Linked DNA regions of Drosophila melanogaster. The protein of the gene in region 1 purifies or fractionates together with the protein of each later gene. This does not show direct contact. Each region holds a gene or a part of one and is shown in the gene's direction. Other genes may lie near its edges. The genes, in order: dgt6, cmet, tacc and dgt3.

Region 1 (7,607 bases):
GGCCGCTTCAATGGCCGGCATTTGTTAATGGTAAATCGGTAACCGATCGCAGTTTGTTAGCTGATACCCATATGGAGTTACTCATGCCGCAGCTTACCTCATCGAAGAACACTTGGGTTTTGCGCAAAATATGCTTCAGCTCGGTCAGCTCCAGAAAGTTGCGCTTCAGGGCCTCGGCGTTCTGATTCACCTCCCTCAGCTCGTTCTCCAGCTTCTCAAAGGTGGCCTGAGCAGCAGACAAGAAAGCCATATAAGTTCAACAGTGTTTAGCAGAAAACAGGGAGTATGGCGGCGTATACCTCCAGGTCGATCATCTCGCGGGGCTGCGGGGCCTCGGGACTCTCCCCGGTGTCCAACATGGGGATGCCGTCCTTCTTGATCTCCTTCTCCAGGTAACGCAGCTTGCGCTCCATCTCATCGCAGCGGCGCACCTCGTTGACGAACTTCCTCTGGAAAGCGTTGACATCGGGATTGAGCTGCGGATTTCAAAAGATTGGTTTGTTATTGGGGGATCTCAAAGATACTTCATTTGTGCGATCAAGATATAGCACTTATGCCACTATATTTTTCAATTTTATTTAAATGAGGTAACACACGTAGTTATACTATACACTTAGTAGCTGGTGTCACCAGCTTTGCATTTACTTTGCATTCGCGTTAAAGGGGACGTTTCATGGAATACCGAATTCGCTAATGAGGTAAGGGGTATGATTGTGGTTTATGGTTAGTCAGTGCGGCTGCCTCGACCGCAGCTTTATGTAACCCATCCTACTCACATCTCGGAACTGGACCAATCCCAGTTCTCCCAACTCGGAGACGCAGGCGTAGGCCGCCTCGCTCTGCAGGAACAGCTGGCACAGCGCCATTTCCTCGCTGCGGAATAGGGAACCCATTGTGGCAGCCGGATTCCCGATATCTGCGAATGGAGAACAGACACTAAATCAGAATGCATATGTACATATATAGTACACAATGGGCCCATTCAATTGCATGATTCATGGCCAAACTGGGTTTCTTCCTAAGTTTTGCGGCCGTGTCGCATACATATTTTCATGCTGATTTGGTTATCGTTTCGGTGGGCGGACGTTCGCTTGTCCCCCAGATTATTTGTCTGTAATCTATACTATATATGCGCCGAGATTCGATTTCTATACCCCATGCGTATATTGATTTTTCTCCGCCGCGGACAAAAAGAAAGTGCTACGTTGGACCCGGATGCCAAGGTTTTCGGCTCGTTGGGGGTCAGCCAGTGACTGGGCTCGAGCTTTATCCGAAAACTATTTAGTTTGTCAGGGGGTCACTTCGAAATGAACGTCGATTAGTTAATTACCAAGTGCTTAAAAATTAAATATAAATTCGTCCACAAACTCCAGCAACCGACAAATTTCCGAACTATGAATCTAGTGTGACCGTGGCAGGTCATTGGATTTATACCAATCGAGTAACTAGGGAAATAAATTTGTACTTAAAAACAAATATCTGGGAAATATTATAAAAAACATTTAAAAAACACAAATGCTATTCGCAGTTACTATTCCTAGGGAAAATAAATAGATTTATCCCTTTTATATAACATTTTTCGTCAATATAAACAGGCAGTGGGAACGTCTTCATTCAGTTGAATTCAACCACTTGGTAACACTGGGCAGCAACAAAAACAAAGAACTTCAAACTAAACCGCCATATTTTACTTAATTTCTGTGCTAAAATATGGATCGGACCATAATTGCACCGTGGAAGGCCGAAGAGAAGGAGCAGAGCGAGAAGCTCCACAGGAAGCTGCAGGGACTGGCCCTGGTGCACCCCCTGCCGGACGAGCTGCGTAAGCTGATTGCCTGGGACATGTTCCTCAAGCCCAACCAGGTGGCCTTCGTGCATGTGATGCACTACCTCTTCCGTCTGCTGGATCCCGCGGAGTTCAAACGCCGCTTCTTCTGGCCCATCACCGACAAGAAGTCGGAGGCGAACTTTCGCTCCAGCACGGTGGAGTATCTGAAGCATCTGAACGAGAAGCACCAGCTGCATTGGGCCAACATCAAGTCGTATCTGGTGGTGATGCCCGGAGGCATGAGGTTCATCAACTTCCTGCTCGAGTTCGTGGGCTTCGTGATCCAGGAGCTCATCAAGCAGCGCGAGAAGTCACTTGGCTTAGAGGCGGGAACACCAAACGTGAGCGCCAAGGTCATGGCCCGCCAAAATGCCGTGATGAAGGAGTACGCTTCTTCGTATGTGGTCAATCTGGAGGAGAATACGGCCCTGTTGCGGGACAAGACCCAGAAGATCAGACGCCTGATGGCCGATCTGTCTGCAGACATGGGAGTGCCCGAGGAGCAACTGGCGGACGATGGCTTTCTGGATGAGTTCGAGGCCACCGCTGCACTCGGCGTGGAGCGGGTCATTACCCAACCCACCGAAAGGAAATTCGACCTGGAGGCATCTCTGTGCGGTCTCAAGGAGGCCATCGATCTTTTCCAGGTGAAGCAAGCCGAGAACAACCAGAGCAAGGAGGCGGTGGAGAAGGCACTTCGGGGCATGCGAGTGCTGTTCGACTGTGATGCAGTCACAGAAGGAGGTGAGACATCTTTGGTTGCATCCTTGCAGGTCTTTAAATTTAAATGGTTTTTCAATTCCTTCGCAGATTTCTACGATCCTTTGGGCGCATCAAAAATGGATGCGCTCTTAAACGGCTTTAATCGGATCAGCGGCACAATTGCCGAGCAACTGGATGCTAATGACCACTACAACGAATCGAATGCGTTTGTCACCACCGATTTGCAGGCTCTTCGAGTGGAACTTTCACAGTCCGAAGTCCAATTGAACAATTTACTCAAGAAACTAAACGAACCGTCCAAAAAGGACAAGGGAAGTGCCAATGCAAGTGGCTCCGCCAGGGTACAGACGCTTCAGCCGGCCACGCCTCGCTTCGAATCGGTTATCAGCTCCAAATTTGTTTCCACGCCTCCCATCAGAATCGACATGGGCGGCGGTGGCGGTCGCAATGCCCCAGTGCGTCTTGCACTGCAAGATGACTTCAATGGCAAACAGTTTGATGCCTTAAGCAACAGCTTACTCGGTAAGGAGTGAACTAAACCGTTCGCTTAGTGACCCTCATCCTTATGAGTTTTCCTTTTCAGCACCTGCGCCGCCTCGATCAGCACGCAAGCTGAAAGCCCTTGATCAATCGACCGGCATTGACCTTAATGGCACTTTAAACCGATCCAAGATCAACGATCCCATGCAAATGCTGCGCACCATTCACAAAAACACCTCCAAGGTCAAGGCAGCTCCGCAGGCGAATCTCTCCTCCCTGGGCAGCAAGTGGAAGCAAATGCAAGCGTCATTCGGTTTCGATGAGGCGCCGGTGCCAGGAGCAGCAGTGATCTCACCTCAGACCTCACCAACGGATCCCAGCGATCCCTTTACACCCTTGAGTGGTAGCGAGTGCACCCGAATTGAGCGCATTCCGCGCACTTCGGAAAACAACACTTCACTGATCGCCAAGAGCGCTGCGGTTATAAAGGTCCTGGAGGTATCACGGAATGTGCTTAATCTTAGCACCTCGCCATCTGGACGCCTAGATGCACTGGTTCCACATACCGAGAGCCACCAGCAAGATGTCGCGCCACGTCTTCAGCTCAACGACAGAACAATCAATGTAAGTGGGATCAACAATAATACGTGCCTACGAAATATACGAATCTCAAGTTCCTTTTTTTTACAGGACTCACTGCAGCTTGATCCCGATTTCAACATTGAAAACGATAAGAATGCATTCAATGTCTCGCATAAATTCGATTTTGATCAGATTGGTGGTGAGGATGACCTGCAGAACATCAGCGATAGCGTGCTCAAGGATATTATCTTTTAGTCCACGGGAATCGCGAATGGCCAATATTGTTTAGGTAATAGATTTTGTATTCTTTTTCTAATTGGTTATGAGGTTTTTAAACGAAATATACTTTTTACTTTAGTTTTTAATATTACCCATATGAAATTAAAACTAAAATCTTTCAGCTTGAAAGCAATTTTCTTCTTTTAAATACATCTATAAGTATACCAGGCTTTTCGAAATTCGAGTTTCAGGACTTAAGATTATTATTGAAATAAACAACCTTTGAGGCAGTATTAAGGTTTATTATATATATACTTTTAAAAGTCATATCTTATAGCTATTGTTCTTCATTGCGGCTTCAGCGATCTGTTACATCCTTGCAAAATCAGACTTTCTGAAATGAGTGGGTTGAGCGTTCTAGATGAATGAACGGCAAAAGTATGAAACAAATTGTATAAAAATAAAAAAAAATGAGTGAATATAATGATGGAGAAATAAAATAAGAACAAAACTGAAAAGTGTGTCTTCAATGAATTCATTTTTATTAAATTCGAAAATTATAATAATTATCGTTAACTTAAACTTCATGAATGTGAGATATGTACTTTTGTGTCTCTGTATACATGTTATTGTATGGTATTACTTTTGGTCTTTATGGTCCGCGCCTATCACATGTCTAGCCGCACAAAAAACTTTACATATGGATACGGATACTGGCGTATTATATACACTAGATTAAAGATTAAGAGTATTGGCAAAGGAGCGTGCATTTAATGCAAACCCAATTGCAGCCGGTTGAGCAATCGCTCACAACCCCGATCGTTTCGTTTTGGGCTATAATAAATATATATATATATGTTTTACTTCAATAAAGTTATAATTTGCACTGCTGTCTCCTACTTTCCGCGGCGCTGACGCGGCGGCAGATTGTTCTTCTTGCCAAGAATCTTCATTAGCTGCTTGGACATGAAGAACGGCTTCTCCGGTGAGCCGTCGTTGCGCTCGCAGTCCTCCAGGAAGCACAGAAACAGTGTGTCCACTGCCGTCGAGTACACACCGAAAAACACGCTCGTTATGAGAAAGGCGGCAATTACCACCACCGTGGTGGGCACTGCTATGTAATTTAGCCGAATAATGCTCGGATTATTGTCCAGGAAGTAGTAGGTGGACGCCCCCGCCCCTGCGGTTAGCAGCAGTTTCGACAAAAAGAACAAAAAGTCCGTGACCTGATCCAGCGTCACCACACGCAGGAAGTTCCTCATAATCAGATTAAACGAGTCCGCGGCACTGGAGCAGAAGTTCTTGCCATGAATGGCGCACATGATGTAGGCATTCCGATTGAGGAACTTCAGGAAGGTCTCCAGCAACCAGAAGAAGCAGCGCATGCAGCAGAGGATGGCTCGTGTCACCGCATTGTCGTACTTCTTCAGCTTCTCGTGGATGTACTCCAGCACCAGACGGATCAGCCGGACGATGGCCAGGATGAGCGAACCAAAGGCCACGGTGCCCAGATGGTAGACAGCAGTTTGAAAGAATGCCCTTGTAAGGGTGAAGTAGGGCACATCCCTCTTTTTGAAGGTCCAGTACCATCGGGCGAAGGTCGAGGCCAGCACCATGTAGCTGAAGGCGGAGATGAAGAAGCTCAGCCAGAGGAAGCCAAAGACGTTGTAGAAGATGGCCCACTTAATCTCGATTGGATTGTTAATCGAGTCAAAGCTGCAGGTGGTGTTCAAGCAAGGGTTTCGGTTCTGGAAAAATGAGGTCAGCCGAACGCTACAATATTGCTGGAACACTTCTGGCTTGCAGGATCCGCCCACTGTGTAGTTGATGGCTGGACCTTCGCAGACGCAGTCCTCGGTGGTCACTTCGCCACTTTTCGTCAGCTGTCGCACCATTCTAAACGAAGGATCGCCAATTGAGCCCAGATACAGGCCCACGCCAATGGCAAACGCTATGGCGGCAATGAAGAGTATCCAGGAGAAGATGGGAAAGAACACGGTGCTGATCACGCTGCTCACCGCCTTGCTGCCCTCCTTGGTTAGGGCGATCGCTATCCGGATGCGCTTTCTTAGCACAATTACCAGCAACAGGATAACCACGAAGCACACGCCTACGAAGATGGACAGGTAGAGCCAGGTGTTCTGGTTTTGCAGGACATTCTTGACCGTGGAGTGTAGATTCAAGCCGTGTACGGGAACCGTAGGCGTATTCTCCCAGTGGATGTACTGCTTTACGGAGAAGTAAATACCCACCAGCAAGCCGATAAGCACGCCGAAGATGGAGAACCAGAGAATCGGAGCCGAGAGCCAGCGCATTAGAGCGATGTAGATCAGTGAGGCTACCAGGGTGCAGAAGCAAGCCACCAAAACGATCGACCAGGAGTTGACAAGATCCTCGACAATCTTTTCTCCCAAAAGCTGGGCGTCGTTTGTGCCATTGTAGAAGTGGGCCACCATGTTACCAACGAGCTTGGCCAGCCTCGTATCGGTCTGCATCATCTTCTCCTTGATGACAGCCTCGTTGAGTCTGCGCTTGCACTGGATGATCGGTTCCTCGTCCACTGGAGTCTGTTTGCCATTCGCCTGTGGAACAACGAGAGCCTGGGCATCCGTCATTTTCTGGTACATGACATCGGCCTGCATTTGAACTTCTGTGGTGGCGTTTCCGGGCAACATATGCAGCTCCCGCCTCGACCTTCCCCCATTTAGCAGAAACGAGGGAATATAATCACACACGCCCTGCGAGAACTCGAAGAGGCATCGTTTGAGGAATGGAGCACTCTTGATGTACCAGCGTGCGCACTGGTTCTGGTTAATGGCATCCTGAATGTCCGATTTGGTGCGAATCTGCGCCTTGTGCTCCTCCGACAAGCAGATGAGGCGACTATGCAGCTCCGCAAAACTTTGTTTGTCCTTCATAGTGTCCCAGACGAACGTCTCTCGGGGACAAGTCTCCACACAAACCTGTTGAAATACGTATTTCATTAAAAGTAAGATCAACTCCTTGCAAATTTGATGTTAATGGTATCTCACCTGTGGAGTGTCACATCCAGTGATGGGTACAAGTGGATCGATGCACTGATTCAAGTCGAAAAAGAATAGGTTTTTCTTGTTCAGCACTCCGGAGTCCATGCCACACTTTCGGTTAAAGGAGTCCGTGGGCACCAGCAGTTTGTTGAGATCGCCGTTCCTGATGGCGTATTGGGCTATGAAGGCCCATCCGCCCAGGAAGAGGACGAATAACAGCAGGCAGGGCACATCCGTGCAGCTGCGATCCCTCTGCCTCGGTCCCGTGAAGTTCCGGTCGTAGCGCAGTGGCTCGCCGTACTTGTTCATCAGCTCCACGCTTTCCGTCATCGCTCTCTACTGAAAGAGTCCAAGAAGAACCGAGTGTTTTATGTATGTATATACATAGAGCCACTATCGATGGGTCGTCGTCTCTAGGTAATGAGATTGTCAGGCGTATATCATGTAATTTATTTCCGTGCATGCGTCATTGTTTTAAAAATGGAAAACCGAATCTGTAGTGGGTGGTCGTGTTGGCGGTGAAGCCAACCACCAGCGGCTCTTTTTGTTCTAGTTTATTTGTTAGTTTGGTTGGGGAAAGTACGATGAGTAAATGAAATTGTCGGCGACAAAGTGCGGTTTGATTATATCAACGACAGGCGGCCAACGATCCCTTTTGGATTGAACCACAATTAAATAATATTTCTTCCTATGTTTATGAATAAGACTGTTTAACCTTTTAATGATCAATGAACCTAGCTCTGTAACAA
Region 2 (8,086 bases), on another chromosome or scaffold:
CACTCACTCACTCACTCACTTTTTCGGTTTCGGTTAGCCAATCTATATGCGTTACATCACAGTCTATAACGTTGGTGGATCGACAGTAGGGCCGACGTCATCGATCACCCAAGACGATCGGGGGAGGAGCGCGAGAGCGATGGGCGGAGGAAAAGCGTGCTGACTGACGGACAGCGGCAAATACAATGAGCATTGCGGAATTCCAGCGATCAAATTATCAAGAAGTTGGCCAGTTAACTACCTTGTCGATCGGCTGACTGCCTTATCGCGCTTCCAGGGCCACAAAGCGATCGTAGCTGGGGCGTCACATCGCATCCAGCCGAGTCTATTCGCAAAACTGGCTCACAACAGGCGTCGCCTCGCCTCTTTCCGCTCCCGGATTCTCCCCCAGAAATCTTTCCTTCTCGACGGCTATTTGCGTTGGCGTTTGTTTTGTTTTCGATTTCTTCGCGATCGGACTCCCAGTTGAGACAGCTTGCCCTCTTCGCTGCGACTGCTGCGAGAAAGCAAGAAGAGCGAGCGAAGACCGCACGAGAAGACAGCCGAGTAGAAGAGCACGCCGCACTCGTCTCCACCTCGTTTTTAGTTCAGGTGTCAGGTGAGTGCGCGCAAGAGGTGAGTTGGTATGTTCAAAATGCGCAAAATTGCTTACTTAAAGTACTTTTCAAAACGATATAGTCGCGTAGAATACTATGTAGTTTCGTTTGTTTAACTCATTTGAATCTTTTTATAACTCTAGATCTAAAAGTAAAATAAATAATTCATAAATTTACTTACTTCGGCACCGACTCCTGATACTTTTTTGACATCATTACTGAAGGAATTCTGCTAGCTGTCTCTCTTCCCAACTGTTTCGCCCGGCCAGGCATAGTGTCCATATTATCCGTTTGTAACCTTTTCTCCTTTAGGGTTTTACAAATGCCTTTGGCTTTGGGAGCAATCCCCCGCCGCTGAAACAAGGGTTTCGGCAGGTTAGTCAGCTTCGAAGGACGCGGTAGACGGGACTCCTCTGGCTCAGGCAATGCGAGAACAGGAGCGTCGCCTTCTGAGCCTGAGGCGGTTAAAGTCCAAGTACGACGACGCTTCTGGAGGCGATAGTCGTCAAGCGAGGCGCTGGAAACGATCTTCAACATGTCGCGCTTGATGCGACCTTCCAATTCCTGCAATACCAGCTGGCTCTCATTCTTGATCTTCTTCTTAGCAAGCTTATCCTTCAACATACTGATCCCGCGATCAAGTTGCCTCATCATCGTGGTTTCAGAGTCTATCTTGCAGACCTGCGGCTTGCAACGAATTTTTTTGGCACACGTGCCGAAGCTTATAGTGGATGACGACTCCTCCACGAACGATGGCGTAATTGTACAGATGATAGAGGTCAAAACATTTCCACCCAGCGAAGGCAGCATGATGCGCGGAAGTTTCGAATCGCGAAAGCTATTCGGCTTGCTATCTACACTCTCGGAGAGGCTCTTAACCAAGTTGCGAAAAATCATAAGGCTGGATGCGTGGTCCGCGGGGTCCACCTGTTCGGATCCAGCCAGATCCACCAGGCTCAGTACGCTCTGCTTTACGGTGTCGTTATCACTGTGGTCCGACTTTCGGGACTCAATGATCTGTAGAAATAATCTTGCATATTATATGATTAATACAAGAATCTAGCACTCACTATCCTGAAGATGGCGTGCGAACGACTGGACCGCTCGTTCATGTTGGTCTCGCCCACGACGCGCTCCTTGTTGCCCATGTAGAGCTGGCGCAGGAGGTCGTCCTCGCTGGTTACGATGGACTCCTTGCAGTTCACATTCACAATCCCATTGCCGGACTCATGGATCTTGAGGTCCTGATTCTTCTTGTTCAGCAGATCGTAGATCTTCTCGTTGTAGATCTCGATGTAGCCCACGCGCAGCAGAAAGTCCCGCTCCGTCTCACTGGAGATCTGTTGAAAGATCTCCTTGGCGGCTAGCACCATGACGCCCGGATTCTGTTCGTCGCCCATCATGGTGTACGTCTTGCCTGAAATGCATGCCCGGTTTTAGGTATACCGCCGCGTATATATAGCACAGTACCCACCCGACGACGTCTGGCCGTAGGCAAAAATAGTTCCGTTGGAGCCCTGCATGCAGGCGTGCACTATGTGCTTGGCCATCCGGTCGAACACCTCCTGGTTGCTGGCGCCCTCGTCGAACACATAGTCTGCCAAACGGAATGGAATGTAAATGAGATAAAGGTCTTGTAGATCAGGATACGCTCAACGCTCTAACCACTCACCGAAGACATAGGGCTCCGCATGGCTGTCCGCCAACTGGATGGAGCGGCCCTCCTTCACCTGCCAGAGTGAAGTGAGCCCGGGCTCGCAGGGACGCACCTTGATGCAGACCTGGATGGAGCTGGCGTTCTTCGTAGACATCTTTGCGACTTGTGGGAAACGTGTTTGACATGCACAATGAACAGACACAAACAGATTTTAACGTTTTATAAAAGCTAGTTTGATCGACATGTTAGTTTCTCTTTGTAAATTCGAACAAATACCGCTTCGGAAGCGAACCAGATCGAAATACGGAACCAGTAAATAGGCGCGAGCCAGTTCAATTTAAAAGTTTGAGGAGCTTTCGGCGAATATGAAAATATAATCCAATAGGCTTCGAACATAAAACTTTTTCCGAGCTTTTTCGTGATATATAATATAGATTATTATTATCTATATTTCCAAAATAGTAAAGACCGCTAAATTAAATGCTTACTTACAGACAGACAAAAGCTGAGGGGATTGTTTAATGCATACAGAAGAATACTGTCTGATATAAACATGAGATTTCATTGGAATAATAATCCCAGTTGTTCACTATTAAAAAAAATAGGAAAATTGAAAATTTGGAAAATATTATAGTGGTTATATTAGGGAGCTTAGTTATAATTTATTTCAAATATTTGTTTTGGAATCAAATACTTTCCACATTATATGTGTGCTATGAATAGAAGTTATGAATTAGTAGAAAAAATACGAACTTATATGAAATTTAAACCGTAGTTTTCGCATGTATTTAAGAGCTTGTTCTATTTTCTGTTTGACCTTAAAGTATTGAGTCATAGAACTTTGTTAGTTAGCATGCCCTACCAATAAGAACACAACGTCTTAGAATATATATATGCCGTAGCGACCCTTGATCAGGAATGTTAATGCAGCCCTGTGGGATAAGAACATAATGTGTTTCTGTTTTTATTTTTGCAGCCCTATTTGGAACTATGATAACAATCGATGAACCGATTTATCTATCGAGTCGTTAGCGCCACTCGAAGATATCGAAGCATATACATCCCTGATTTTGCAAAGCGGCATTTGTTCGAATTTAACGAGCAACAAAGATGTCGATCAATGTTTGTTTACTGTAAAACATTGAATTTTATGTTTGTTTATGAACTGCGTTCTGTTTATCATAAAGCATTGAGACCAAGAAGGCGCCAAGATGTCTGCGAAGAACGCCAGCTCCATCCAGGTCTGCATCAAGGTGCGTCCCTGCGAGCCCGGGCTCACTTCACTCTGGCAGGTGAAGGAGCGCCGCTCCATCCACTTGGCGGACAGCCATGCGGAGCCCTATGTCTTCGGTGAGTGGTTAGAGCGTTGAGCGTATCCTGATCCACAAGACCTTTATCTCATTTACATTCCATTCCGTTTGGCAGACTATGTGTTCGACGAGGGCGCCAGCAACCAGGAGGTGTTCGACCGGATGGCCAAGCACATAGTGCACGCCTGCATGCAGGGCTTCAACGGAACTATTTTTGCCTACGGCCAGACGTCGTCGGGTGGGTACTGTGCTATATATACGCGGCGGTATACCTAAAACCGGGCATGCATTTCAGGCAAGACGTACACCATGATGGGCGACGAACAGAATCCGGGCGTCATGGTGCTAGCCGCCAAGGAGATCTTTCAACAGATCTCCAGTGAGACGGAGCGGGACTTTCTGCTGCGCGTGGGCTACATCGAGATCTACAACGAGAAGATCTACGATCTGCTGAACAAGAAGAATCAGGACCTCAAGATCCATGAGTCCGGAAATGGGATTGTGAATGTGAACTGCGAGGAGTGCATCATAACCAGCGAGGTTGACCTCCTGCGCCTGCTATGCTTGGGCAATAAGGAGCGCACCGTGGGCGAGACGAACATGAACGAGCGGTCCAGCCGTTCGCATGCCATATTTAAGATAGTAAGTGCAGCCTGCTATTTTCTTTCCGATAATCTGCAACATGTATCCCACAGATCATCGAGTCCCGAAAGTCGGACCACAGCGATGACGACGCAGTGATTCAAAGCGTGTTGAACCTGGTGGATCTGGCTGGGTCAGAGCGGGCGGACCAAACGGGTGCTCGAGGAGCGCGCCTCAAAGAGGGCGGTCATATAAACAAGAGCTTACTTTTTCTCAGTAACGTTATCAAAAGTCTGTCGGAAAACGCGGACAATAGATTTACCAACTACCGCGATTCCAAGCTGACGCGCATTCTGCAGGCTTCTTTGGGCGGCAATGCATTCACATCCATCATTTGCACAATCAAACCATCGATCATGGAAGAGTCGCAGTCTACCCTTAGTTTCGCCACGCGAGCCAAGAAAATTCGCATTAAGCCCCAAGTCAACGAGATGGTATCTGACGCCACAATGATGAAGCGGCTGGAGCGAGAAATAAAGGTGCTTAAGGATAAGCTGGCCGAAGAAGAGCGCAAAAACGAGAACCAGCAAAAGGTAGAGCATCTGGAGAGACAAATAAAACACGACATGCACAAGATAATCTGTGGTCACTCCCTGAGCGACAAGGGTCAGCAGAAGCGTCGCCGTACTTGGTGTCCCACTGCATCGGGATCGCATTTGGAGCTAGCAGAGACCGGCACAACTGAAGATCGAATTGACCAATTTCCAAAGGTCTCACACCTTCCAAAACCAGTGTTTTTTCACACTTCAAATGCAGGCAAACGATGGGACAACATTCCAAAGACCATAAACATTTTGGGTTCCCTGGATATCGGTACCGAGAGCAACTCCATTAGTGAGGAATTTCTCCCGGCAGAATGCATTGATTTTGGCTCCCCTCGCCCAGATGTCCTCAAACCCATGTTGACCATCAGGCAACTGCCAGACCTGCCCCTCACTCCCAAGGGTCCCTTAACGTAAGTACTTCTGCAAGCTTTTTGATCATCCTCCATAACATTCATCACATAACAATCGCATCCACATACCCCGACCCGATCCCTGCACTTATTTGCCTGCACAGAACGGATAAAATCAAGAAGGAAATCCAGGACCTGCAAATGTTCACCAGCTTAGAGAAGCATTTTGAGGTGGAGTGCGAAGAGGTGCAGGGTTTAAAAGAAAAGCTGGCCGAGGTTACAGCACAGCGGGATAATTTAGAGCAAGAATCGTTAGCCGAAAAGGAGCGGTGAGTTAATGAGGTGTTTTCTGTCAAGGAATCTGTCGTCCAAAACATAGTGCCTGCATCGTAAAAAACGATGTAAACGTAACTCGACTTTTGTGCTTTAAGCAGTCAACCCAAAATCTAACATACCTATTCATACAAATCTGTAAAACTAGTGCAGCGATATTCTATTCCATTCTATAAAAACAAAACACTTAAGTATATGTTTCAGTTTTTAACAGTAAATTTTGTTTATAGAACACCACTCCACAATACCTGTTTGTTTGATTTATTTTATTATAGTTTTAGTGTTTAACAATAGTTTACTACTTGTGTATCTTCTTATAGTTATGATGCTCTGGAAAAGGAAGTAACCAGCCTAAGAGCGGATAATGAGGCTGCGAATTCAAAAATCAGCGAATTGGAAGAGAAACTGAGTACTCTAAAGCAGACTATGAGAATAATGGAAGTGGAAAATCAGGTGGCCGTGGGCCTCGAGTTTGAGTTTGAGGCTCACAAGAAATCATCGAAACTTCGCGTGGATGACTTACTCTCTGCCCTTTTAGAAAAGGAGTCGACTATAGAGAGTCTTCAAAAGTCCCTCGACAATTTAACCCGCGATGTCTTACGGAACAGCAAGGAGGGCCACATGCTTTCCATTGCCCCAGAGCAGGAAGACATCGCCGGCGACAGTATATGCAACAAGTGTGAGGAACTGGAGAAGCTGATTGCAGATTTAGAGTCCAAGAAAAATTCATGCGAGTGTGATCAGCTCCGGTTGGAAATCGTCTCTGTTCGCGACAAGTTAGAGAGCGTTGAATCTGCCTTTAACCTGGCAAGCTCGGAGATTATCCAAAAGGCGACTGATTGCGAGCGACTTTCGAAAGAGCTATCCACATCCCAGAATGCCTTTGGACAACTTCAGGAAAGGTACGACGCTCTGGACCAACAGTGGCAAGCTCAACAAGCGGGCATCACAACCCTACATGAAAAGCACGAGCACGTGCAGGAGAAATACCAGAAATTGCAGGAGGAGTATGAGCAGTTAGAAAGCAGGGCAAGAAGTGCCTCCAGCGCTGAGTTTCAACGGCTTCAAAATGACAACACGAAGTTTCAAGCCGATATCGCATCCCTCAATGAACGATTGGAGGAGGCCCAAAACATGCTTACGGAAGTCCAAAACTCTGAATCTACTGTGGAAAAGCTTCGAATACAAAATCACGAACTTACAGCGAAAATCAAAGAACTGGAGACGAACTTTGAAGAGATGCAGCGGGAATACGATTGCCTTTCCAATCAACTGATGGAGAGTGTCCAGGAGAACGATGCCCTGCGAGAGGAGATAAAGCAACGACCCACGAGTCACGTTGAGGAGTCTATGAGGAGTTCCGGTATAAGCTCCGATTTTGACGAACAGAAGCAGGATATAAACCTTCTACACCAGTTTGTTCAGCTTTCTGAGTCCGTCCAACAGATAGAGCTGCAGCATCATTCCGGCATCAGTCGCCTCTTTAGAGCCAACCAAATGAAACTGGATCAGAGCGAGCCAGGACTTAAGCTTTGCCTTGAGTCTGCTGAGTACATCGAGGAAGACAATCGTCAATCCGATGCAACTGAACCTATTTGTCTCAAAGGCTTTCTCAAGCGACACAGATTTCAGATAAAGCGACTTAGCCAGGAACATGTAGATATGGGAGAGGAGAAGCGATTGCTTGATATTATTTCGCAGCTGGAACAGGAAATCGAAGAGAAGAGTGCACTTATGGAGGCAACAGAGGCAACCATCAATGAAATGCGAGAGCAGATGACTAACCTAGAGTCGGCACTCCTCGAAAAGAGCGTTATAATTAACAAGGTTGAGGACTACCAGCGGCAGATCGAGTCCCTGGAAAAACAAAATGCGGAGATGACAATGGTATACGAGGAGCTGCAGGATAGAGTAACAAGGGAGAGCTCGATGAGCGAGAGTCTGCTCCGAGTTCCACCTGACGAGGATACCCTTCCAGGATGCCCTACATCTCCCAGTAGACGAGAACAGGAGGTGGCCACGCTAAAGACATCCATAACAGAATTGCAGTCACAAGTTTCTGATCTAAAAGCAGAACTTGAAAACCATTTAAGGCAGATCCAGTTGAAAGACGGGAACATAGCGAGACTACAGACGGATTTTGAGGAAATGAGTGAGCGCTGCTTATCGATGGAGGTGAGGCTAGCCGAGTTGGATGAGGACACTAAGCAAAAACAAGAACTACTGGATCGTCAGGCGCAGAAGCTCTCCGATGACCTATGCCTTATCGATCAGCTTCAAAAGAAAAACGCGCAGCTCGTTGAACAGTATCATAAAGCGACAGAATCTCTCAGTCTTGCGGATGCAAAGCCGGATCAGATACTACTTTCCTCCCAATATGATAGTCAGATCGAGAAACTTAATCAATTGCTAAATGCAGCCAAAGATGAGCTACACGATGTGCGAAGGATAAAAGATGATGAGATAAGTGCTTTGCGAATGGAGTTCCTGCTCCAAATTGAAACGAATGAGAAAGAGAACCAAGCCAAGTTCTACGCTGAATTGCAGGAGACTAAGGATCGCTATGAGAGCAATGTGGCCGAGTTAAAGGAGAAGCTATTGCAGGTAGAGGAGACACTCTCCAGCGTTACGGTTCGTTGTCAGGCGGAGTTGG
Region 3 (7,911 bases), about 24 Mb from region 1:
GACCGATCCTGGTTAAGAATAAATAAATACTTGTTCACTATTAGTTAAATTTCCAAATATATAACTTTTCGGAATCCCGAACGGTTGAGTCGTTGAGTTACGCGGTTGCATTACAATTCTCAGAAGGCAACAAAATAGGGTGACGGTGTTGCCAGCCCTAATAAAGAGAAACATAATCGTCGAGTAGAAGTGCTCTCGTTTATGGATTTAAGAGAATGAAGTGCCTAGTTTTATACTTTAATATTAAATATTTGGACTTTCTGCGCTAATAATACGGCAGACTCCGAAAATATGTACAATACGATGCATATAAATCGTTGTTATATAAGGTCACTTTCCGAAATATATTCCTATAAGTTATTCTTTATAAAAATAATATCAAACAACAACACATCTTAACTTTATTGTGATAAAAGATGATTTTACATTTCACTACATAAAAAAATTGAGCAGTCGTCACTACTTCAATACAACATATCCAATATCAATATTTTACTGCAGCGTGTCAAATGTTTGTTTAAAAAAGCGTATTAACTGTGTCAAATGTAAAATTTTTTTTGGCACAATAATGTACTTGAAAACTTTTATATGCGATCTACCTGTGTTATACTTTAAACTTTTGACTTGTACTCTTCAAGTATCGTGTGCTAGAAATATAAAATGCAGTATTATAATACTGTGTATATCTACATAAGTAGGTAGCAAACATTATATTCTCGGTGACAAAAGTGATTATGGTAATAATACCAAAGCTACTGTTCCCTTTTTAATTCCAATTCTTTATTTTGACCGACTTTCATTTACTTGAAAATTCGTTGAAAAAAAAAATAAAGAAAAACTTGGATTTTATTTAACCATTCATAGATCGAAATATTGTGTAAGTGCAATTAAATAATGTTATTAATAACATGCTAGGTAACATTTGCCCTCTGGTATTTTTTCCCTGCTGGCAATTTGGCCACACTGTCACTTATGCTTCTTCAAATTGTAGCGGCATTTTCGCCAAAGCAACGTTGGAAATTCGCGTCACCAATTTCATATTGCGATAAATAAGAGTTTTATCCGAAAACGTATAGCTTAACTGTGTCATCGGCCTGTAGAAGAGCGCTGCCTGCCGGGATACACATATGCCATGGAATTCGACGACGCAGAAAATGGCCTAGGAATGGGATTTGGTGGTCGCGGCGTTCTGCGGGAGATCAACAAAAACGATGGCGGCATTAAGGTAAGTTAATAGCTGGACTTGGAGGCGTGCTCCGTCCGCGATGTACCAATGCAGCCACTTTCGGCAGAGGCATAATTCAACTCACACGTCTACAGGTACATATGTGTGTGTTCGGTTATGTACTTTGTACATATGTGTGGGTATGCTGCGTCGCAGGCTGTTCTGCTATTTTCTTTATTCGCAATTGTTCATCGTAAATACATATGTACATATAAATTTCCATTATTCGCTGTTCCTATTAGCTCTGAGGCAGCTGTCGCGAACGAGAGTTCTCTAGTTGATCGGTGTCCGCCGGACATTGTCCATCCCAGGTGACCAGTTTCCCCGATCTGCCATAGCCATAGGAGAATGGGCAATAAGCCGGGCAAGACACGGAAACCGAGGGCCTTGTCCGGGAAAATTACCATAAAGGCGGACGACGGACGAGGGAATCGGGTATGCCAAGGGAAAATCAAAAGTTACTTATTCTTCCTTCTATATATTTGTCTCTTGAAATTTCCACTCTCCAGATGGTGCACTTTCCATTTAAAAATGCTAGTGTGTATCGCTATTATGCCAATAAATCAGTTGGCGGCTAACGGCTGCAAAATGTCAGTGCCTAATGCGGTTTACAGTCCAAAAAACGCCCATCTGAGGATTTAAGTTTGACTAAATGTCATTTAACTCCATCTTCCCTTTTGCCAACAAAAATGCTCATTATAAAGGATCTACAGATGGTTTCCACCCCTTTCCACATTTGCCTATTTTTAGATCAGTTTATAGTTGGCTCTTCCTCAATATTTGTTTTCTTTTATTTTCCTGAGTTCTATTGGATATTCGAATTGCAGCTTAAGGTTCAAATTCCACTTGTATTCTATTCTATTGTATTTATTGTGTTTTCTGAAATCAGTATACTCATTTGTGGCCACTATTTGGATTCCACTCAAGGCTTATATGCTTCAACAAACTACATTGGTTTTAAATTCACCCTGAGCCGGGAACCGTGTGATATCTTGTCACCTGTCGCGCGCTGCTTGGATAACGCTAGAGCCAACATCTAACTATTCCCCCCTCGTCAAGGCCCATCGTGTGGGATTCCGTTTCATTGCTTACATTTTCTCGCCAAACATGCAAAGTCAGCCGTTGGGCAATGTGGAGCTTGCAGATAGTGCGCCATGATGCGCAACAATGGCTGTGGGATTGCATGTCATCTGGGACCCACCAGGCCTCTACACTTGAAACAATGTGATGAGCCAAATCAACATATTTATTATTTTAGAGCACTCTACTTGCCTCTACTGGTATATCTTTAAGAGAAAGCATTTTGCAAATAAGACTGTTCTCCAAAAATCCTATGGAAAATGTGCAAAATAATTCTGTCATCAAAGCGTTGAATTTGCACCAAGTTCCTCCAGTTGATTTGCGAAGACAATATAAGCAGTCGGCGGTCGCCGTATTCTCGTATCCCATTTATTTATCCCCTTCTTTAAGTGTTTCGACTTATTTGCGGTGTCTTGCACTTTCACTGCTGCCTTTCAGTCTGAATTTCGTCTGAGGCCTGTATAGTTTTTCAGTTTTTCACTGCAGTTCAGTCAAAAAGGTTGTCAACTTGAGCCCGCTCTTTTGACATTATTATTTTATAAATGTTGCCCACGACCTCGACCGTTTCCAAAATGTATTTCATATATCTAAGAGAAGTGTGTTTAAATGGATCAAGTGTGTGTTGCCCTCTAGCTTCATAAAACCCAATATATTTTCTCGAAATAGAAAAGGGTAACTATTCCAACCATAGAAAGGATAAGATTTCATCTTCAGAATCACCAGCCAAGTCTATCTGGCCACTAAGACTTATATTATTTATATGCTAATAAAATCTTTGAAGGGTATATTTCTCGTAGCTCCAAAAGCTGAGTAATGGGTAGTCGAGAAAAACGACTGAGTTCTCTGTTGTTTTGATTTAATTTTCATTAGGAATATTTGTGCTTAAAAGTTCAGAGTATAACTTATCGGAACTATTTCAAGACTAAGGATGTGCTAAATAAATGTTTTAAGTTGGTATGAAATCCATAATGTGTAATATACAAAGGTGTCTCTAGCCGCCGTCTCACATGTGAAAACATATGGCAGTATTATAAATGGAAGAGAGGACCGTGCTGATAAGGGGAGAACGCCATGTGGGCTAAAACGATCCAAACATGAAGACATACGAAAACATCCGGATCGTTATGTGGATGCCATTCAAACTATTCGTTCTCTCACTCGGTCTGTCGATCCCCCGCACTCTCGCCGTGCTCTAAGTATTTGTGCATGTGTGACGCTGAGCAGAGCAAAGCAAATTGAAAACGAAAATATTTTTAAATTGATTTTAAAGGCAGACATGATCGGGAGGCAGTGAGAACCGCACGCGACAACGGGCCGTGAGAAACCCGGAGGTATTACCCAATATAATGGAAGCGGAAAATCACAGTAAAGATTTTACCGAGTAGGCGAGCCCAAATCTGTGTCACAACAAAAACCACAAAAAAAAAAAAAAAAAAAAAACACTAAAGACCAAACTAAGGAACTCTATAGATCCATTATTTTTTGGAGCCAAGTGAACCGTATCGCGTCTCAGGAGTTAATCGTGCGTAGAGCGGCATGGATTTCCTCGCGAATATCATCAAAAGACCCAAAAGCATCGCCACCACTGGCATCAGCACCAATCAGCCAACGACAATGGAAGCCCTAGAAGCTGCTAGTCCCGCTGATGAATGTTCTACACCAAGGGATAAGGGAGGAGTTACACTTGTATCCGCGCACCTGGACTCGTTACTAGAGTCCGCCTCTGAGGAGCTGCAACGACTGGAGGGAAAGCACTGTGAACTATTTATGGAATCCATCTCGAACCCACTCCCAGCCCCCGAGGACAGCACTGATAGTAGAGAAGAAATACAGAAATTTCTAAGCGAAATAAACTTCAATCTGAACCAAGTGAGTGCTAACGAAATGGAGCACTTGCAAGCCATGAGTGGCGAGGTATGTCTGAAAGAATTAGGACTATCTTTTTATGTGCATCCCTGGGGGGGGGGGGGGGGGTGTTCTAGTATTAGGCAAACTGCATAAATCTACACATTGGAATTTTTTTGTAATGTCCCAATGTGTTTTGCCGATTGCATATATAGTATTTATGCGGTTCCACTTGGTTTTGTCACCTTATTGCGTTGCAGAAAATATTATTTTAAATAGGGTTGTATCTAGCCATTAGCTTGGGCTAATATTCCGCAGGAATCTGCTTCCCATTACCACTCAAATTTGAGCCCATTGTCAAAAAATTAAAATTAAAATACTTATCAATAAAATCGAAACGGAGAAATTGGTCTAATGCCAGAATTTTCCTAATTTTTAGTGTCTCGCTCATAAGCCGGTCACCACTCGCCTTATTCTTCTGACTTTAACCTTGCAGCACCCATTATACTGCAATGCGCTCTAATTAAATTCCGCGTGTAGAACGATGCTCCCAAACCTAAATAGACATTAAACATGGCGGCCGGCCGCATTGAATCCGCGGCATGTTTATTTCGCACTGCACAAAAGCTGACGTCGACCCAGTTCCACGTCCATCTCCCCACCTTTTGCTCCTCAATCCGTTTCGTTGCCACCCTCCCAAACATATGCCATATACCCGATTTTTACGTCTTGGCTGGCTTTTTAATTAATGACATTTGCTTTTGTTGACTGACCGACTGCGACAAACATTTGAAATGTATGTCTTTTTTAAGCGTGAATTGAAGGCATCTGTATCATATGGGCTACATTAGATGAGATTGAAGTTTTTCAAATGAAGATCATAATTTCATAATAATGTATTCTTTTGTATATGATAATAACTAAAAATGGGGGTCCTATGCCTTTGTATAATTTCTTGGCAATGGGAAAATACGGGAAAAGTCATCCCAAATGCGATTTATTTATGCCAACTGTGGTGGGGCTCTTGCCTTTTTGTGTGTCAAAAATTCTTAATTAAATGACCAACCAGCTGCTACTCGTGATCATCTTTAAAACCCCATTCCCAACATCGGTTGTTCACGGTTTAAAACTATTCGGATCATGACCGCGATGTACATCTTGATAACTATATTCTTAAATTTTGCATCTCTTGTTTGGCAGCTGAGTCCGTTGGCGGTGAAGCCCAGTCCCAAGCCAACGAGCATGGATCAACAGAAGGCAATGGCGGCAGCTCTGGGGCATCAGACGGCGGTACCCGGTGGACTTAAGCCAGAAGACGACCTCGTTCCAAAGTTTGGAGGTCTTCCCGAGTTCGATGAGACGCAAATACCGGAACTAGCTCCTTTAAGTACCGATATGGATAGTGAGTAAATCTTGTTTGTGTAACCCAGAAATCTCTTAAGGTAGAAAAATTATATTGATGTACAAAAGAATTCCATACGAAATCCGCCAGAAGAGCGAAGTAATTTCTTCTATTTCAATACCGTCATTTATACAAAGGAAAGGGCCAGCTGGGGAAAATAAATCATTTCCAAGTTTATGTATAAATTTCTCGTTGTATTAATTATATAAATAAATTTCTTATATGTATTTAATTATTATTAAAACGAATTGATTAATATATCGCATTCATTCCTCCCTTAGCTCAACTGAAATCCAACCATTCGGATTCGGATGTTTTTGTCGAGTGTTTATCGCTTCATAGCGAGCGCTACACCGGAGATCGATCGGAGTTAGAGGCATATTCAAGTGCCCTTAATGATGTTTTGGAGCAGCAGCTGTCCATGACCTCAGTTTCTACACTGGGAGCTGAATTCAACGATCCTTTGGCAGTTAGCCAGCACAACAACGTCAGCTATGAAGCCATGGATGTGGATGACCTAAACGAAACCATGGAAATGTTAAAGGACGTCTTGAATGCGGAAGACCGTCATCTTATGCAAACGCATATTCTCAGCGTAACCCAGTCAAAACCAGAGAATAATTTTGTGCACTATCATCCAAATCAGGAGCAAAATAGGGTTGAACTAGACCAGTTAGCCAAACACTCTAAACCCAATAGTGATGCAAAGGAATCAGAATCATTGGTAGAATCAGTACTGTCTGAGGAGTCTGGTACACAATCCTTTGAGCCGAAGCTCACCTTATCTGCCTTGGACTCTACGAAAGACTTAGCTAAGCATCAAGAGGAAATGCAAACAAATACAAAAGATATATTTCAGAAAGAGAAGCACCACCCGGTCAGTAGTGCTCAGGTGAAGGACGCACAAAATCCTAAGGAGCCTGAAAAGGCCTTAAATCTCAAAGAGGCTTCTTCAGAACTGTCCACAAAATCAGCAAAATCTCTAGAATACCCTAATCAAGAGAAGCAATTTTCGGTGGCAGTAGAATCAATGGAGAGACCATGCACTGCCATCAGCCTTGAGCAAAATGCATCCCCAGCTATGGAGGCAACTGAAGACAGGACTGTGGAGGAGCTTGATCAAATGGATGTGGATGAATCCATGAAAGTGGATGATGCCACAGTGCTTAACTCATGTCGGCAGGAGCAAATTAATGCTCATTCTCCCGTTTCAAGCAAATTTTTCTTAAAACTCTGCGTTCAAAATGATACGGATTGTCAAGATAATAAAATGGATCAAAAAACTGCAGGAAAAGAAAGTGCATTAAAGATGACTGAAATAGAGCTGCCTGTAGAATCTGTCCCATCAGCTTCGCTCTCACCGCCGACACCCGCACTTCAAGCAAAAATTATCGAACTTTCCCTTTCCCCGCCCATACCTACACATCGCCCAAAAACAGCGGAGGAACTAGAGTTCCTGGCTTTGAGGGAGCTGCCTTTGCCTGATGGTGTCTCGACGGCGGGGAAGGTGGAATGTAAGCAGCTATCACACGGCCTGGTACCCATTGTGGCAGTCTTACCAACGCCACTTTACTTGGATCTGAAAGGGAATACAACCACTGCAAGCCTTCCAGAACCGACTTCGCCCAGTTTCCCCATCAAAGAACCTGCTGAAAAACAGTCCCACTTTCCACGCTCACCGCGTGCTCAGCTCGAGCAAAAGGACATGCCCTATTTGGAAGAGGCTGTGGTAGAACGTTCATCACATCGCAAGCAAAGCGATTTCGGAGTCATAGCGAAATCACCAATAGTCTTTGAGTTAACACAACCGAGTCCTGAGAAGCAGCACCTCAACGAAACCTTGCCAATGAGCGAGATTTCTCCCACTTCGTCAAATATGACCTTTGACAGCGGAAGCATTACGGAGGACAAATCACAGAAGGGTACAGAGAATATTGAGCCTTCTTCCACCCTTGCCGTAAGTCTGGGATCGGTTGATGATAAGCAGCGGCGCACTTTCTCGGTGGTTCAGCCCACGAAGGAAGAGGAGGAGGCCAAATCGCGTCGGACTTTCTGTATGGAAAATGAGAACCCTCGACGCACCTTCTGCATGCAGCAGAATGCTTCTCCAGCGGTGGAGGCTACCGAAGACACCGGGGCTGATGAAGTTATGGATGTGGATATCTCCATGAGGGCAGATGAAGTAGCCGTGATGAAGTCGCATCAGCAAACTTGGAAGGAACGCCAAGCACCAATTTCAAATTCACCACCAATTCCTACTCACCAACGTTTAAATAGACCTCCTGAGGCGATTTCTCCAGTGTCCCCATTGGGAAATGGCACCGTTGTGTTGGAGGAGCAAACTCTCTCTGCTAAAGAG
Region 4 (7,427 bases), on another chromosome or scaffold:
TTCTCAAAATGTTTTGTACGGTATTTTTTTAGTGACTGCCCGTCGCTGGCCATATTTAGCAGCTCTTCGCTGCGAATGGCAATGGCACTGTTATCGATTAATCGGCCATCCCTATTGGCACAATGATAGTGGGTTTTTGTTTTTTGAAATTTTATTTCACACACTCCGTACATCGGTTACAAAAATCAGGATAGACCCTTAATCAATAATAATGCATCCTTGGGATTACTTGGTCGGCTGCTTCGCTTGCTTCTCCTTCTTGGCAGCCTCGGCCTCCGCCTGTACCTTTGTGTACTTCTCGATCAGCTTCTCCACATCGGGTTTCTCCAGGACACTGTATACGGTCTTATTGTCCACACGCTGCAGCGTGGCCATCTCGACCTTCTCCGGGGTCAGCTTGGTGGTGTCCAGGGTCATGCTCAGTACCTTGATGGCCAAATCCTTGGCGTCCGCCAGCGTCAGCTTCACGTTCTCCTTATCGGCCAGCTCCTGCTTCAGCATGGAGATCGCGGCACCGAAGTTGTTGCCAATACAGGTGGCCTTCCATCCGCCGTAGTTGCCGCTGGGATCCGACTGGTACAGTTGGTAGCCGTACTTGTTGTCCCATCCCATGTAGAGCAGCGAGACGCCGAAGGGACGCTTTCCGCCGTACTGAGTGTACGCCTGTTTGATGTCGCAGAGGTGCGACACCAGCTGCTCGCAGGGAATCACCTCGCCGTAGCTGAACTGGTAACGCTGGGCAATCAGACGCAGTTCTGAGGTCAGCACATTGGCATCGGAGGTGATGCCAGCCACCGAGCAGACCATGTTGCTGAGGGAAAACAAAGAGGCTTGGATAGAGATAGATTCGTAGAGAATGTAGTGGGTAATTAAGATCATGGCCAGTTAAATATATGGCCTGTGACCCTTGAATTCATCGTAGGATATACTACTGAAATTTCAACTCACTCGTTCAGGCGATAGATCTTCTCCGAAGGAATGGCGCTGTCCAGCAATTTGTTTGTGCTGCGGCACTCGGCTGCCAACAGGATGCCGTCCTCGGCGAGGATTCCGAGGCAGGTTCCGGCGTGCGAGATGGCCTCCATGGCGTACTCCACCTGGTACAAACGGCCCTCCGGCGAGAAGATCGTGGTGCGGGAATCATAGCGGCGAGCCTGGGAAAATACACGCAAGTCAATTACTACCACGATTGCTAGCCTTCAATGGTCATCGGCCCAATGGTGGCTCTCAGACCAATACCGGTCTTCTGGGCGCGGTACTTACCATTGCTAAGGAATATACCAATTTACAAGTTTATTTTGCAAAACGAACAGAATTTACTTGTCATTCAGTGTAGGGTTGCCAGACTGCCACACGAAGTGCGTCCAAAGCGGTACCAGGGCTGCAAACTAGATGGCGTTAGGGTGTTTCTATTTACCAGGGGTGGTGTGCACGTTTATCCACATATCGATATAAGGTATTAAAATCATTTTAACAAAGATCAATTTATAAGCCCTTTAAGATTGAGGTGTACTAAAACATAATATTTACTTGAATTAAACTTAAGAACTTGTGTCAAATTTAGAAAAATTGTATCCTTACTTCATAGCAAAAATTTAAAATAATTCATATATAAAATATATATATATAATAAACAGAAATTTATTATATATATATATATATATATATATATATTATATATATTATATATATATATATATATATATATATATATTATATATATTATATATATATATATTTAACAGAAATAGATAAGAGTAAATATTTCATGAAATCGTTGATAGGAAATCAGGAATTTCTACGATTTTTATTAAGCTTAATTATTAAGCACTATTTCCTGTTAATTTTCAAAAGGTACCATCTCTAGTAACGTCTCTGAAACCTTTCGATATAACCGATAAGTAATCAGCTTGTGTTGTCATTTTTTTAAAAGATGGGCGATCTGCTGAGCGTATGTGTGATGATTTAATTAATGATCAGCTTATAATCGCCATGATTGCAGAACTCGGAATTCTTCAAGAAGCTGGGAGTGGACAGCTCGAACCAGTGGATTCTGTACGATGAGCAGATGGAGATGTTCTTCAAGTTCCTGTCCGGGAACATCACGGATGCAAATATCCTCACAGAGCGACAGGTTCTGGAGCGGGAGGAGATGCAGCGGCGGGGCGAGTGGCTAAGTGCTTCGGATCGCGAGCTCAAGCTCCTGCAAATCGAGGCCGAAAGTCCGGGGCTTCTCAACTACAAGCAGCAGGATGTCGACGCCTTGACCATGAGCATTGAGGCGATCGAAGATGCCTCAAGGGATTATGCTACGCTTCTGGAAGATATGATGTAAGGGAAAAACTGTAACCTTCCTCATATATGTTCGATCGATGGTCAATCCACTTTTGCAGGACCACAAAGCACTCGATAACTAAGCACCTAGGCGAGGTGGAGTGCGTCACCGCCGAGTTGCAACTGAGGGAGAAGGATCTGATAGCCGAGTGCCAGTCCAAAGCCAAGCAACTGGAGGAACTGCAGCAGGAGAACTGCCGGCTAAGCGCCGAAGCCAAAAAGGCATTCACCGCCCCACAGTTGCCGCCTCTATTCATGCATCAACTGCCATTGGAGCAGTATTTCCACAAATGCGATTCATTTATGCAATACTTTACTCTGTATGTGAAGGAGAATTTTAAGATCCAGGACTATGATGAGTTCCAGAGCGCGGAGGAAGATCTTGGGCGCGAAAAGGCCAAGCTGGAGGACTTGGAACGTGGGTAAGCACAAAGGTTCTGTGCTAAAAACAATGCACATTAATTGATATGACCGTTTTTACAGCATCCAGTTTTATGCACTATCCTACATAAGAACAAAGGCCAAGGTGAAGGCCACGCAGTGTCTTATTGACCAGTTGGATCTTGGCAAGATTCACTGCCTCAGTTTAACGGACATGGCGCGTGAAATGCACGATCTGCAGCTGCTCAACGACTATCAACTGAGCAATACACACGATACGCTTTTAAACGATCTAACCATTCACATTCAGCAGCACACCCAGCGACGTATTGAGCTGGTTCTCTACGAGAACACTAAACTGAAGTTGGAAAGAGCTGTTCGACGTCATGAAAGCGACAAGAAGCTCACTAAAATCATCTCAGATGCTCTGTCCAATGCGGAATTGCTGTGGATTGCGATCCAACTGGACTGCGACAAGAAGCGCAACTGCCTGGACACTTCGGAGGAGTTGCGCGACCAAGCGCAGGCCACTTGGCAAAGAATCCAGACCATGCGCTCCATTAACGCCAGTTATCAGGGCATTTGTGCCCAGTTTGTGCAGGAGATTGCCAATTTGTTGTCAGCCCACTTGGGACAGAACATAAAGGCAACTGAGGCCAAGGCTTGTCTCTTCGAATACGAAAAGTTCGGTCGCCTGCTGTCTTACTCCTTTCAGAGCATGCTGAACCGAAAGTCGTGTGCTGCTGTTCAGGATCAACTGGCAGAACTGTAAGTTGCAATACTTAACTTTGATACAGATCGTTTAAGCTATTAATATTTTTTTTTAGCAAGCGCTTGGAGCAGACTTTGCGGCCGTTTGTCTATGATTCCCCATTGGAGCAGCCCATGTTTGAGAACGTTCGCTACTTGAGCGCCATATACAATGTCACCCAGCAGCAAACTCGCCTGGATGAGTCAGGGCGTTCCTTGCGAAAAGATTTCCTGGAAAATGTCGTGGGGCGCATTGTAAGTATACTAATTAACTATAAAATCATGGAATATAACATTTTAATGTTGTTTATCCTTTTAGGAGCGGGATAAACTGTATCGCTATAGCGTAGTCCTGTGGATTTGGTTTCTCACTGAGCCGCAGCGCATGATGCATGCAATTGATGAGGTCAAAAAGGCAGCCGCTGCAGTAATTCGTCCAGGTGGTGGTCTGCACCGCAAGTGAACTTAGTTGATTTAGAATCTGGTCAGTAAATAAATGTTAAATTATTCAAAAATAAACATTACGGCGTTGCTAGTCTAATAATAAGTCAATACACTAAATTTAGGGATGCTGTATAATGTGTGTATGTAAAGATTCTTAGGCAGCAACATGATTTACTTTTGCTTACGACTTTGGTAATTGTTTTCCCCCCTTTGAAATGCCTTTTCCCTGGGCTATCAGATTTGGGTTCACTAAACACCGGGCGTATTAAGGCAGCATCGTCTTAAAGCAGTCTACACGAGTGCCACCAAAGAGACGCATTAATTGCTGGCGGCACGCGACGGCGTTTCCAAGCGATTACCATTCAGATTTGGCCAAGGAGCAACAAGTGAGGCCATAAAACCTTGTTCGCCTAACCTAGAGATTCACTTTCCGTGCAGACGAAGTCATTTGCCCGCCGATTTGCAGGACTCTCATTGGCTGCCGGCATTCGGGCTGCAGGACGAGTTTTGCCGAGCAGAGGTCCTTGCGGATATAAAAGGACCAACAGTTGTGGCCACTGGTTCACTCGATTATCGTGCTTCGGGCCATCTTTCCCCTCGTGACTTCCGGTAATACAATTGGATAAAGTGAAGTGTTTGTGCAAAGTGTGTTTTTTTAGTCAAATAAACCTTAAAAAGTGCTTCTACAAAACATTAAATATTTGGACTGCTTTAAGGACTTTAAATTTAAAGGAGTACAGCAAAGAAGTGGAACATTTTAAAGCTTTAAATGGATAATTACTCGCAACTCATTACCCCTTAGTGCTATTTGAATTAATTTCAAATTTATATGTGACCCTTAAAACTCAAGTGCTGCTCGGCGAATTTGAAGATCTGGACAGATTTTTGGGTTCAAAAGGATATTAAGTCAGTGAATGGGATTTAATATTCATACTGCATGGGCTATAAGAGAATTAATGTCGCAATTCTGTTTTAAATTTAGTAATTTAAAAAGTTAAGGTGTTGAATGTGTAATGTAATTTTAAGGAGCAAATGCAATATTTTGCTAATAATTACCTAATTTAGACAAATTCTTCAAAAGAACAAATATTTGTTCTTGTATCTAGTTACAGCTAAGTTAGCCACTTAGGTCCAGACTTATTGGATATTTTGTGTTTAATAGTTAGACTCCACGAAATGCATCTGCTTGGGATCAGCATCCACTTCTTCTTCCTGATGTACGTCAACTGCTTTAGTGCCCATCCGAATCCCAGGCGCAATGATATAACCTGGGATGATCTGAACAAGGATATTAGTTTGGACTCCACTACTTCCTTGGCGGGGCTCAATGCCAGTGATGCGGGCCTAGAGCAAAGAATGTACGAGAGGAGCAGGGAATCCAAGTCTACGCAGCTTTCTAGATACACTGAGGTGGGCGAAATGGGCTCCACAATGCGTGTCTATAACGTTGGCGTTCTGATGGCTTCTCATTTGGGTGAGTGCTCTGATAGTTGGCTTCAGATTTAATGGCTCATCAATTGGACTAGATTCTCCATTCGATCTGGAGCGTTGTGGACCGGCCGTTGACTTGGCCTTGGATGAGATTAACAAGGTTTTCCTGAAGCCTCACAACATAACACTACTGAAAAAGAAGGGAAGGTTGGTACATCTAATTCTGTGAGTTCTACTCGTACCACCACCTATCAAGTTCTTATTTATGTTAGCTATCCATCCTGTTCGGGTGCTCGGGCTCCTGGACTGGCTGCGGACATGTACTTCCAGGACGACGTAATCGCGTTTATTGGACCAGCCTGCGCCTTTGCCCTTGAGCCGGTGGCACGTTTGGCCGCCTATTGGAACAAGCCCATCATCACCGGCATGGGAGATCAGGTGAGAGCAGCGGATTCAGGGCCAGAATATCCAAGTCGCGTGTCAGGACACGCAGCACGCCGCTTTTAATAATGTGGCCTCCAGCCTGAGCTTCAGACTAATCCACATACCCTTGTGCCACATCCAGAAGTAATCACATTTAGCCAGCTTAATTGTGCTGGTCGTACTCTTGACATTGGCAATTAAATGCCTTTTGGCCCGCTCTTTAATTTGCATTTAAGTTTGCCCGTATTATTGACAAATGGCAATCTCCCCCTATTTCGCCCACCTGCTGCTAGCCGCCTTCCTCGGAAGGTGAGCTGACGGTCACTTCCGGAATCCTGGGAAGGATACACAAGTGGAAGAATGAGAATACGGTAAGTTTTGCGCGGGGAAGTTCATGGATTGTAGTTTAAATTAAATAACATTTAATCTCTGGCCTGGTTTTCCGGTTTGTTCGGCTGCTGCTCCTTGCAGGGCATGTTCAAGGACAAGTCCAAGTACCCGACGCTCACCCGGATGTCCTACTGCCAGTGCCGCCTCATCCTGGTCTTTGCCAGCGTCATTCGGCAGTTCAACTGGAATCACGTTGCCCTGCTGGTGGACAGATCGGAGCTCTTCTCGTGGACGGTGGGCAAGAATCTGGAGTACGGTCTGCGGCAGGAGGGACTCTTGAGCTTCGTCAAGGAGCTCAACGGCAACGAGGAGGAGGTGTACGAAAACTATCTAAAGGACGCCAGCATGTATGCCAGAGGTAAGATTAGGTAGATTATACGATTATATACGCAGGTTTTAAACTTTCCTCGTCAGTGGTCATCCTGTCGGTTCGCGGCGTTCTTGTGCGAAAATTCATGTTGGCAGCCCACAGCCTGGGCATGACCAATGGCGAGTGGGTGTTCCTGGACGTGGAAATCTTTCAGAGCGAATACTGGGGCGACAAGGGTTGGGAGATGAAGGATGAGCACGATGCCAAGGCGCGGAAGGCATACGAAGCCCTCCTGAGAGTCAGTCTCCTGCAGCCGACAAGTCCCAAGTTCCAGGACTTTGCCGACAATGTGAGGGAGAATGCGCTCTACGATTACAACTACACGTTTGGCGAGGGCGAGGAGGTGAACTTCTTTATTGGAGCCTTCTACGATGGCGTCTACCTGCTGGGAATGGCCTTGAACGAGACCCTCACCGAGGGTGGTGACATCCGGGATGGGGTCAACATCACCAGGCGGATGTGGAATCGCACCTTCGAAGGTATCACGGGGCACGTGCGCATCGACGACAACGGTGACCGGGATGCTGATTACTCCATTCTCGATCTGGATCCCATCAATGGAAAGTTCTCCGTTGTGGCCCATTATTCCGGTGTTCACAAGTAAGAGTATCTCAGCGAAGTTTCAAGGAAAGGTAGCATAATTATTTTACTATTTTCTGCAGAGTATATTCGGCTGTTCATGGCAAGAAGATACATTGGCCTGGTGGTCGTGAGGAGCCACCGCCGGATGTGCCACCCTGTGGCTTCCTGGGCAATTCTACAGACTGTGTCGGAAACTGTAAGATACATCCGCGAATATAAGACATCGGTATTATATATTATATTATATATCCTTATGACAGTTTCTACCATTATGTACTCCGTGTTTGGATTGCTTCTTTTTCTGGGCCTTGTTTTTCTGGTC

What was found.
Region 2: the proteins of dgt6 (region 1) and cmet purify together in Drosophila melanogaster (affinity purification with western blotting; one study listed by BioGRID). This does not show direct contact.
Region 3: the proteins of dgt6 (region 1) and tacc purify together in Drosophila melanogaster (affinity purification with western blotting, with the first as the bait; one study listed by BioGRID). This does not show direct contact.
Region 4: the proteins of dgt6 (region 1) and dgt3 purify together in Drosophila melanogaster (affinity purification with western blotting; 2 studies listed by BioGRID, with this or other methods). This does not show direct contact.

The regions. Positions count from the first base shown.
Region 1 is NT_033777.3:29,124,995-29,132,601, reverse strand, and holds dgt6 (dim gamma-tubulin 6), read left to right. Parts: upstream 1-1,629; 5' UTR 1,630-1,710; coding exon 1,711-2,572; intron 2,573-2,638; coding exon 2,639-3,073; intron 3,074-3,134; coding exon 3,135-3,655; intron 3,656-3,721; coding exon 3,722-3,868; 3' UTR 3,869-4,018; downstream 4,019-7,607. Other genes in the region: Vha100-1 (vacuolar H[+] ATPase 100kD subunit 1), read right to left, coding at 98-226, 300-476, 777-893; Ctl2 (choline transporter-like 2), read right to left, coding at 4,729-6,795, 6,865-7,188.
Region 2 is NT_033779.5:11,264,225-11,272,310, reverse strand, and holds the start of cmet (CENP-meta), read left to right. Parts: upstream 1-3,308; 5' UTR 3,309-3,464; coding exon 3,465-3,603; intron 3,604-3,678; coding exon 3,679-3,801; intron 3,802-3,858; coding exon 3,859-4,205; intron 4,206-4,258; coding exon 4,259-5,160; intron 5,161-5,264; coding exon 5,265-5,429; intron 5,430-5,753; coding exon 5,754-8,086. Other genes in the region: cana (CENP-ana), read right to left, coding at 778-1,613, 1,667-2,013, 2,071-2,193, 2,269-2,407.
Region 3 is NT_033777.3:4,742,105-4,750,015, reverse strand, and holds the start of tacc (transforming acidic coiled-coil protein), read left to right. Parts: upstream 1-3,601; 5' UTR 3,602-3,841; coding exon 3,842-4,219; intron 4,220-5,350; coding exon 5,351-5,552; intron 5,553-5,833; coding exon 5,834-7,911.
Region 4 is NT_033778.4:20,988,830-20,996,256, reverse strand, and holds dgt3 (dim gamma-tubulin 3), read left to right. Parts: upstream 1-1,875; 5' UTR 1,876-1,933; coding exon 1,934-1,951; intron 1,952-2,002; coding exon 2,003-2,331; intron 2,332-2,393; coding exon 2,394-2,756; intron 2,757-2,817; coding exon 2,818-3,483; intron 3,484-3,542; coding exon 3,543-3,720; intron 3,721-3,784; coding exon 3,785-3,928; 3' UTR 3,929-3,981; downstream 3,982-7,427. Other genes in the region: Prosalpha3 (proteasome alpha3 subunit), read right to left, coding at 226-811, 949-1,154, 1,264-1,266; CG3216 (uncharacterized protein), read left to right, coding at 5,086-5,383, 5,436-5,547, 5,613-5,778, 6,057-6,134, 6,235-6,511, 6,568-7,123, 7,186-7,301, 7,366-7,427. UniProt on the Drosophila melanogaster protein: As part of the augmin complex, plays a role in centrosome-independent generation of spindle microtubules. The complex is required for mitotic spindle assembly through its involvement in localizing gamma-tubulin to spindle microtubules.